Linked DNA regions of Schizosaccharomyces pombe. Changing the gene in region 2 together with the main gene of any one other region gives a genetic interaction. Each region holds a gene or a part of one and is shown on either strand. Other genes may lie near its edges.

Region 1 (5,345 bases), 1.1 Mb from region 2:
GACTTAACCTCAACTTTCCTATATACAGTATGAACAACCAAAACAGCCGCCTGTTTTTACGTTTAACATTCGATAGCTTCTTGTATAATCCCCTTCTATTTTAAATTTAATAGAAATATACAAGTATAAAATCACTGTTCGTGATAAGGAATGAGTAAGGTATGGTTCACGATACAATACGGCAAGCCTACTTAAGGTGTTGAGTTTCGTTACCTAGTCGTGCAACAAGCGCTGGGGATTTAGTAGAGTACTTAGAGTAACACCTTCCATCTGAGGACAAAAATCGAATAAATTTTAACACGTGAAAATAATAGGCACAGCTAAAACTGCGATTGTAAATTATACATTCTACGATACGAGCAAATAAGTATTCGTTTAAAAGGGATACTGTTGTGTTATTGACTTACTATTAGAATTCGACATTACTAAAATTTAACTAATTGAGTAATTGTTTCTGAAATTTATTCCTTATTTTAGATTTTATTTAAAGTATGTAGTTTAAAAAAAAAAAAAATTAAACGTTATACCCATACTTAGTTGGCTACCATTAATGGTCCTATTACTACTTGTCAGGTTTGGATATTTAATGACTCAGATTAAATGATTTAATCAACACAAACCAATATTTTTGAAATTCAAAAATAATGAGGCTTCAATTTCTCAATGAGAAACCAAAAAAAATTATTTTAGATAGTAACCCATTTAGTCATAGAAAAAAAAACCGTGTTTGATTATATGTACAATTTATCAACTCATTTATTTTTATCAGGTTCTTAAATCATAATGATAAACCTAGGCGATTCTATTAGGAAGCAATATATTAAGGACTAATAAAATAAACAATAAATATTAATGATTAGGAAATCAAACGCACCAAGATAATCAAATTGATAAACAAACTATAGATAAATGACAGAAATATTGAATCAACAAAATTGCAACTCATTCAAAAAGTTATCAATTTACACTTAAAGAATTATTTACCACAAAACATACTGTAGCGTTAGCATTTGTTGCTCCTGTTAATAACGACTTCTGATCTCGATGAACTCAAAAAGTTCGAACCAACATAATATAGCGAGTGCTTTTGATCATTCAAGAATTAGAAATGAATGCTAACAATACTACATTACAATTACGAATTACTATATGTCACATGTTCTGATTACCTATCGTCTTACAAATGATAACAATACGATGTAGATCCACTAATAAATTTTTTAATTTATTAGCTAGAAATGATAGATGTAAAATCAAAGGAACAACGTTCTTTAGTTCAGCTGTGGTGGTTTGTTTAGAGATAAATTACATTACCGCCTTCATACAAGGATATCCGTAACCCCCGTTATCATACAACCATATGTACCGCTATGTAGTGCACATACGAAAATCAAGTAGTCTAACATATCATTAATGATAATTACGAACTGCATAGCTAAAAAAAATAAAACGCAATATCAAACTTAACGAAAATATTTTGTGTAAACGTTAATAAACTGTAATTATTTTAAGGAAAAGTGCTTATTCACGTTGTTAAAATAAAAAAGTACAACCTACAGATGCGTACACAGAAAGAAGTGAGTTTATTCGTTCCGCGAACTAGCTTGGCAGTAAATTTTGGGGAATTGACTTTTGTACATTATAGCATACCATTGTGGATCAATTTTATGTTCATTGCATTTTTTTAGTAATTATTACTTCTTAGAGTTCCTTTTTTTTTCAACAAAACCTTCGGATTTACGTCTGAGGTGATCGATCTTTTCATGCTATGTCTGCTCATGAGGTGTCCTCCACAAAAAACTCAGAAATTGAAAGAATTATTAAAGAGGCAGAAGATGCGGGTCCTGAAAATGCACTTACGTTAGATCTATCTCATCTAAACTTGCGGGAATTACCTTATGAACAATTGGAAAGAATCCAGGGTCGGATAGCGAGACTAGCGCTAGGCCATAACTTTATAAAGAGTATTGGTCCTGAAATCCTAAAGTTTACTCGTCTCCGGTACCTAAATATTAGATCGAATGTCCTTAGAGAGTTTCCCGAATCTTTGTGTCGACTTGAGTCACTTGAAATTTTAGACATTTCTCGCAATAAAATCAAGCAACTGCCAGAATCCTTTGGAGCTTTAATGAACCTTAAAGTTCTTTCAATTTCTAAAAATCGTCTTTTTGAGCTTCCCACCTACATTGCACATATGCCGAATCTTGAAATTCTTAAAATTGAAAACAATCACATTGTGTTTCCTCCTCCGCATATCGCTAATAATGACTTGCAAGATTCTGATATGCAGTTGTTTATTGCCAATATAAAGGGATATTTGTCGCGAAACGAATCAGTCTTTAGAACGCGAAGTGAAAGTACTGTTTCCGCTGCTTTATCCGCTTCAGCTAATCTTAGTCACTCGGAAGAAAATGACTCCTCTGTGGTTGATTCTTACTTATTTAGTGCCCCATCAGATACTAGCCATGCGGTTTCACCTGGCATGCTGACGTTTGTCACGCCAAGTCCCCATTCACATTCTCCTGCCGGGCATCAACAGTCCACACCCAAATCGACTTTGTCAAAGACAAATGAGAACTCAGAAGGAACATTGTATGATTCAAATGTTGCTCATGGATGCACTCATCCTCCATCACTTAATCAATTAAACAAATTTCATCTAGATGCGTCGCCTAGACAAGCCCGTCCTCGTAGGTCAGTTTCTTTAGCTACTGGCCTCAATTCTCCTTCTGTTTCAAAACCACCTTCTTCTGCTACAGGACCATTGTACCATTCACCCCAAAGCTCACTCACCAATTCCTCCGTCGCTAGTGCAGACGTTCAAGAACGTACTCACAATACTAACGGCGCTAGCCCCATTCAAGACCAAATTTCAGAATTCACTGATCAACATCAAAATCCCTCAAATAATGATGCTGCTTCCACACAATCGATTCTAAAAACAGCTCCAACGCAGTTGAGTGCGAGTGCTAAAACATCAGCCATAAGTTTACCTGAGGTTGCCAAGAAAGAGCGTAATAGAAGCAATAGTACAAATGATGATTACTCTTCTACTAGACTTCCATCGAGTGTTTTACATCGTCTTGAAGCCCTTAAAGAAGCGCGCAAACTTTCTGAGCAATTACCAAATCGAATTTTTGCTCAAGATCCTCATCCTTCCCCTCGTTTGAAAAAAGAAGAAACGCATGAAAATGGCTCCAATTTGACAAATGACTCGGTCAACAGCTACTTCAGTAACATTGGAGGGAGTGAGGTTGAAATGAAGCACTCGGCCTTTGAAAAAACTTTAGAGTCGTCTAGGGGCATATTGTTTTCGCTTTCGCAAGTCCAACAAGCCCTTCGTCAGCAACTTCTTTTTTGCAGCAACCCCGTTGTTTTAGATTCTATGCGTCATGTGTTACATACTGCCAATGTTCAAATTAAGCGGCTAATTCTGTGCTTTGAGGATACCCAACAAAGCAATGATGGAACTGCAAACATTAATTCCATAGTAAACGCTTCATTGTCTTGTATCAGCTCGTTTCGTAAACTAATTGAAGTGACAAAAAAATTTTTAAATGAGCTCACTAGTCGTGCGGATGTCCGATATGTTCGGCTTTTACTGCTAATTCTTTTCGATGCTGCAAAGGAGTTACAAAACGCCTTGGTACCATTGAGTCCATCACAACCCCATAGTGGTAATAACATATTCGCCGATCAGGTACGTCAATCTCCGACAAGTATGATCCGGACTGCATCTGGGCTTACGAACAGAATCGTTAGCGTTGAAAAACCAGCATCAGTGATGAATCCTGAAATTGATAAACAAATACAAGATCAGGTCGCTTTAGCAACAAACAGTGCAATGTCAGTTTTGACATTACTAATTGATGCTGTTCCTAAAAATAACCAGCCTGATCTAGTAAATGAAAACATCGCACCCAATTTGATTAGTAAGTTACGTGAATTGGGATCATTATCCGCCGCCGCCTGTGATGTTACTAGAAAACTTAAGCATCGCCTTCTAACTTTTCAAACGAATCCGGAAGAATTGGAATGGCAGCTTTTTTTGGACGACACTCAAGCATTTGTCAAGTCTATTATTGCAGTCGCAAATTTAGCGAAAGCGTTATCCAGTGAATATACATTCCAAAAAAGCGTATTAGCTGGTCTTTCAGCTGCAACAAGATCTACAAAAGATCTTACTATCTTACTTTCTTCCTCTGCTCGACATTACACTGAGTCATCTTTAGCCACTCCTGTTCCTTTGATGTCCCCAATAGCCCGCGTACCTGCAACACCGTTGTCAGCGGCTCTGGGTTCGGCTGCTCAATCTATTACATCTCCTCTAATCATGTCACCAGCTGCAATTCCGGCGTCAGCCTATAGTACTAATAAAATCGATTACTTTACTGACGCGGATGGGAACGTGGAAGGTTTACAGCGCTAAAGAATTTTTTAATGAAGATTGATGAGGAATAATTGGTAACTCGATAACTCAAAAGCCTACAAAGACTATAAATTTAATGATACAAAAAATGATGCACGATTGAATTTGATTAATTTATTTCTTATTCAAATAACAAAACCAAGGACAAATTGTAAAGGATGATGGTACAAGTAGTGATTAATCTGTTTCCACATGAAAATCATGTACAAAAATTAGACAGAGTGTGTAGTTTTGGGTAGGTACTCTTTGACAAGACAAAAATTTTTTCTAATTAATTGCTTTGCTTATTTTCAAGTTTCATTTCGCATCTTCTGATGATGTCTTCAATTTCATTGATTTCGCCTGAACTCAGTCTGTGGTACTCAATGCTGGAACTATCAGTTGGAACATCAAGTGCTTGAAATGCAAACTTTTTAGCTAAGGAATAGTTTCCCAGATAATATTGTTCTTCCGCTGCAAATTTTGATTGCTCTAAAATATAGGCTTCTTCACCGAGGACGACGCCATTTTTACTAAGATGCTGAATAATCTGTTAAAATCATAGACAATAAATTGGGAGTAAAAAATGAGTAACATACACCAAAACATTGAACTCTTGGAGTCCATCCATCAGTTTCAATGCTTACTTTCTGTTTTAATCGCTTATTCCGTTCAAGCTTTGACTCACTAACATCAAAATCCAAATCAATCGCCAGCAAATCCATTCTTACTAGAACATTAAATTCTTTTGATCGATCAGATATATTTAACAGATAATGGACTATATAATAAAGCCTGCTACAGCTGTATTTTACTAAAAAAGTGTGTAGTAAAAACCTTTTAACCCCACAATGCTTACGAGTAACAAAACTCCAAAAAAGCAAAATCTTAATTGGCTATCAGGTAAAAAGTGTTTGCTGAAGAGACAAGGTCCCTT
Region 2 (4,752 bases):
CCAAATGTGTCAGCAGAGATGAAGGAAAATTGTGTTCGTCTGATTTTTTTTGGAAGGAAGTATGATCCTTTTCTTAGATCGAGGATGTTCACTTTAACTATTCGTTACTTTCTACTTCAAAAAAATAGGCTTAGGACTAGTTTTTATTTATTAAAACATATGGAGTTATTGGCTCTTCCTGCTTCTTATGAATTGAAAACAACTCTTTTAGAGTGGTTCTTACGAAAACGAAAATTTGAAACAGCTCAAAAGATTTTCCTATCGCTCTGCTTTTCCCAACATTTTCCCTCCGAAAAGTTATTGATGGTTTTACTTCTTCATGGGACTGAAACTATGCAGGAATATGCGATGATACAGGCAATAAATTTTGTGAATACAGAACAAAAGTTACGGTTTTACGATAGACTACACTCGATTTGTAGCAAGTTAAAGTTTTCCTCGACGGGTTGATGCTTTGGTAATAAAAATGGTTCATTTGGATGGTTATTTAAATACAATATTAAGATTTCTACTGTTTGGGTATTTAGTAAGGTAAATTAAATCATTGTAATTTTCGTTCAAATTGTAACTCATATAAATTAAATTATCCCTCATCTTGTTCTTTAGTTATTATCACGACAATAAATTTACGACTCTATTCCTTAACCGTGGGCACTATTTTAATTTAAATGTTCTGTATTTGGCATCATTATCTCAACAATTTAGATTTTCATAAAAGATGAACGAATATATTAGCAAAAAAAGAGAAGTTAAAACATTAAATAAATTAAAGATTATATTATGAAAGGACTAAAAGCATCATAAACAGTTATTCATTATATGCTTTTCTGTTTAAAAGATTACATTCCAAGCTCTTTAGACAAGCGTCCATTTCTCCCAAAACGATGTCTATTTCTAAGCTCAATACAGACTTTATATTGTGCATATTACCTGGATAATCATTAAATAATTCCATATTTAGACCTCGAACCCCCAGAGAATCGTAATTATCATTTGCTAATGGTTGAACGGCCGGTGAGCCAATGGATAAAGGGGGTAAATGAGCTCTTAATTTCGAATTAAATGGCTTAGGAGTGGACGAACAGGAGGAAATTTTAGGAGTAGAACTAGCGGATTCAAGACTAGGTTTATGCAAAATAGAGGGAGAAATCGATTTCGGAGGAGGTATACTAATTGACCTATTAACCTCTAATGGCTGTAGCACTGCCGAATGTTTATGCGCTGGCGCTTCTAATGGTGTAGATAGTTGTTCAAATGCGCCCATCGATATACTTCTAGATTGGAGGTCGAATGAGGATGGCATACGAAGACCCGGCTTCATTGGTGACATGGATATTCCTCGTTTTCCAAGAGAAGTTTTTTGACGTTGCACAACTCGAGGCAGGGGTCGTTTGATACTTTGATCCGATGAGGTTTTGGAATTTGAGCGTGTGCGACCTACAAACAAATCGTAATCTTCAGCTTGCTTAGTGTGTTTCGATTGAATGGTTGATTTTTTGGAGGATAGATTTGAGGAATCTAAGCTAGGTAATTCGATTTGAGAATAAGATACTTCACCTTTGGAATCCTCAGTAGAAGCTCCTTCAGCGTTACTGGGAGAATCATCATCCGAAATCTTTGAATCCTTAAAAAGTTGTAATAACGGATGGGAATCATTAGATGAAGGGGGTTCATGCACTGTGGAAGATTTTGGAATTACAGTTCCAGTTACAGTAGTGGAGGAAGTAGCAGCGGTAGTAGTGGAGGTGGAAGTGCCAGTGATGGATGAAACGTTACTTTGACCTTGTTTAATAGTGCCAAATTCCCAACCATCATCAGAAGCAGCGGTGTCGGAGGTTTCCTGATCAGGGTCGCTTCCATCATCGGCTTCTTCACCCAAGAGTAGCGTTTGGGGTATGCCGCCAGCAGCCTGCCAAGTGTCATAGCGTTTTACAACATTGGTAAGTTCAGAAATAGACATGCGAGAATATTGTTTGATAAATTTTGATTTCAAAAGTTCGGAAGAATCTAATCTCCTCTGAGGGACATCCTGCAAACAAGAGGCAATGAATTCTTTTAAAAGAGCACTAAAATTTCCATTGAGTCTAGGGGGTGCGGTGTGAGCGATTAGGTAAACGGCACGAAAAGGATCCTCTTTGGCATGAGGTGGAGATCCAGTAGCAATTTCATATGCAGTGATTCCGAGCGACCAAATGTCAGCCTAAACTTTGTTAATAATTTTGTGGAATAGGTAAAGGGCTATAAGTAATCAGCAACGAAACATACCATAACATTATATTCCTGACCATCTCGAATAACTTCTGGTGCCATCCAATAAGGCGTTCCAATAAACGTGATTCGCTTTCGGCGATTGATGTTTAGTTCGGCAGCAACGCCAAAGTCACATAGCTTGACATTTCCAGACATGGAAACTAGGATGTTGGCAGCTTTTATATCACGATGGATGATACCTGCATGATGAATAAATTTTAATGCCTGTAAGGTCTCTCTAAGGATCAAAGATATGCATGGTTCACTAATGGGACCAGCCTCCATCAAAGTACGCACGCTACCTCCATGACAATAATCCATTATAATCCATAAATTAGTACCTACCAAATAAGAGCCATGATACTTTATAATGTTTTCGACATCGGACTGTTTCAATTCACTAAGAACAGCGACTTCTTTCTGAATATCAGAGACTTCATCCTCATCGGTATCCAAATTAAGAATCTTGATGGCAACAGTCTCTTTCGTTAAATTGCAAATTCTTTAGAATGTTAGAAAATGTAGAAAAGAATCACTCGAATAATATTCATACCCTCTATAGACTGCGCCGTACGAACCGCGTCCCACCAATTCTAATTTTGTGTACGGCGAAGAAGCAGTGTTATTTTCCATTTCTAATAACTTTAGCTGCTTAGCAGATACATGAAGAATTTTAATTGAACAGGTTCAATTCAAACTCCTTCAATTCCCTTTCACTTTTTCTATACTGCTGGTGGTAGCGGGTACGAAGGAATTGAGTAGATATATATTGAAAAACTGTTTACTATAATACTCAATTTGTGCAATCCCTAAATAACAAACAACTTATTATACTATTTTTTTTCAATACCGAAGCTTTGCGAGGAAAAATACAGCAAATTTAGCAGGAGAAATGAGAATATCTTATCGAGTTTAGCGTAACGTAAAACTAACGATATCTTATCTGTATTTTTCTACTACGCTATGTCGTTAATCAGTATATAATCTGTAGTTATTTATATTTCCGTTCCGCAGCGGATATATATCCGTTCTTTGAGAGTAATTATCTTTAAGACTAAAATCCTTTAAAATAAATCGACCGAATTTTTGTTCCTCAGTTCAAATTGTAAACAATTTATACAGTTATAGTAGTACCCAATGTCTTGTTTATATCCAAGGATATTTAAAGCCCATATTCGTAAACCAACTTTACATAATGCATACAATCATATAAGATCCTTCTCACAATCTACATTTTACGGATTGCAAAATTTCCACTATCTAAGCTTAAGAGCTGAAAGCTTCTCACCTTACAAATATGCTGATTTTCGTAGTAAATAATAAAATGAGATGACATTACTTATTTACTCGGTCGATTTTTGAGAATTTGCGTAAAATACTAATTTGTATCTTAAGATAAAGATACTAAGTTGATTATGTAAATCCGAGTATGCATGGTTGTCTGGTGTGTTACGTTTAGTATGCTATCCATTAGCTTGTACACTGTTCTCCAAACCATTTCATTTTTTTTATGAAATTACCAATTGGTTTGTAATAAGTTGCTTTTTAGTTAATTTAACGAGCATTACTGTTGCTGCTCATCTTGCATGGCTATCGTTTCGAACCGATCATATAAAATATTCGACGAAACAATCGCATAATAGGAGCTAGTCAAAGAAATTTTAAATTTTTGTACAATTTCTTGAGGGCAGCTTAGTTTTGTTTGATGGGATGACAAATCCCGGTATTTACAGACTTTCAATTCAATGAATTGATTTGATGCGTCCAATACCCACATCGCTATTTTAAAAGTGTAGTAAATAAAAATAATGTAATGTATATTATTAATTTATTATTACATTGCCGAGTAAAAAGGGAGTAAAACGAGAAATCAATTGAAGGATTTGTATTTTCTTTATTCTTTCGTTTACTAATTTTTGTAGCGATGACCTATTTTAAAGGTTAGATAAAGTAAGTCAACACGCTGAGCTTAATTGAGATTATCGGTGCGAGCGATCGATTGTAACAATCAATCGCAACAATCAAATGATAATGTATTAAGCAAAAAAAGGAAACTTGAAAGAAATATAGAAATGAGCGACCCTTAGCTCTTCGACCTGGGTGAACAAGAGTCGTTGTACATAATAAAAATATAACAAAAAAGAAAACCCCAGACAAATCACAGTTTCAAGCATATTATACAATCATAGAAATTTGCATTACTAAAAGAATTTCTCTTAAAAGATTAATTATCTAAACATTCCTGTATATCGAAAATCGTAGTTGTATGTACAGAGAGACATGGTACTTTTATTTATCAATAAAAACAGTATACCAACAACCAAGGGGAGGGCATTCTTCATTGTCAAAACTCGTCAGTTTGACTTGTAAGAATTCGCAATTCAAATATTTCCTAGGAACATGACTTTCAACTCGTCCTTTAATGAGCCCACTTTGCACTGCTAATCTGGGATGGGTGGTATCAGCACACTTCCTACTGACACTAACGCTAATGTGCCATGA

Evidence for each region.
Region 1: of nak1 (region 2) and sog2, changing one enhances a phenotype caused by changing the other (phenotypic enhancement), as found in Schizosaccharomyces pombe (one study listed by BioGRID).

The regions. Positions count from the first base shown.
Region 1 is NC_003423.3:3,551,906-3,557,250, reverse strand, and holds sog2 (leucine-rich repeat protein Sog2), read left to right. Parts: upstream 1-1,594; 5' UTR 1,595-1,768; coding exon 1,769-4,429; 3' UTR 4,430-4,571; downstream 4,572-5,345. Other genes in the region: SPOM_SPBC887.08 (uncharacterized protein), read right to left, coding at 4,701-4,949, 5,008-5,133.
Region 2 is NC_003423.3:2,481,438-2,486,189, forward strand, and holds nak1 (PAK-like kinase Nak1), read right to left. Parts: upstream 2,989-4,752; 5' UTR 2,884-2,988; coding exon 2,804-2,883; exon of another isoform or gene 2,753-2,803; coding exon 2,266-2,752; intron 2,201-2,265; coding exon 809-2,200; 3' UTR 630-808; downstream 1-629. Other genes in the region: SPOM_SPBC12C2.01C (uncharacterized protein), read left to right, coding at 1-450.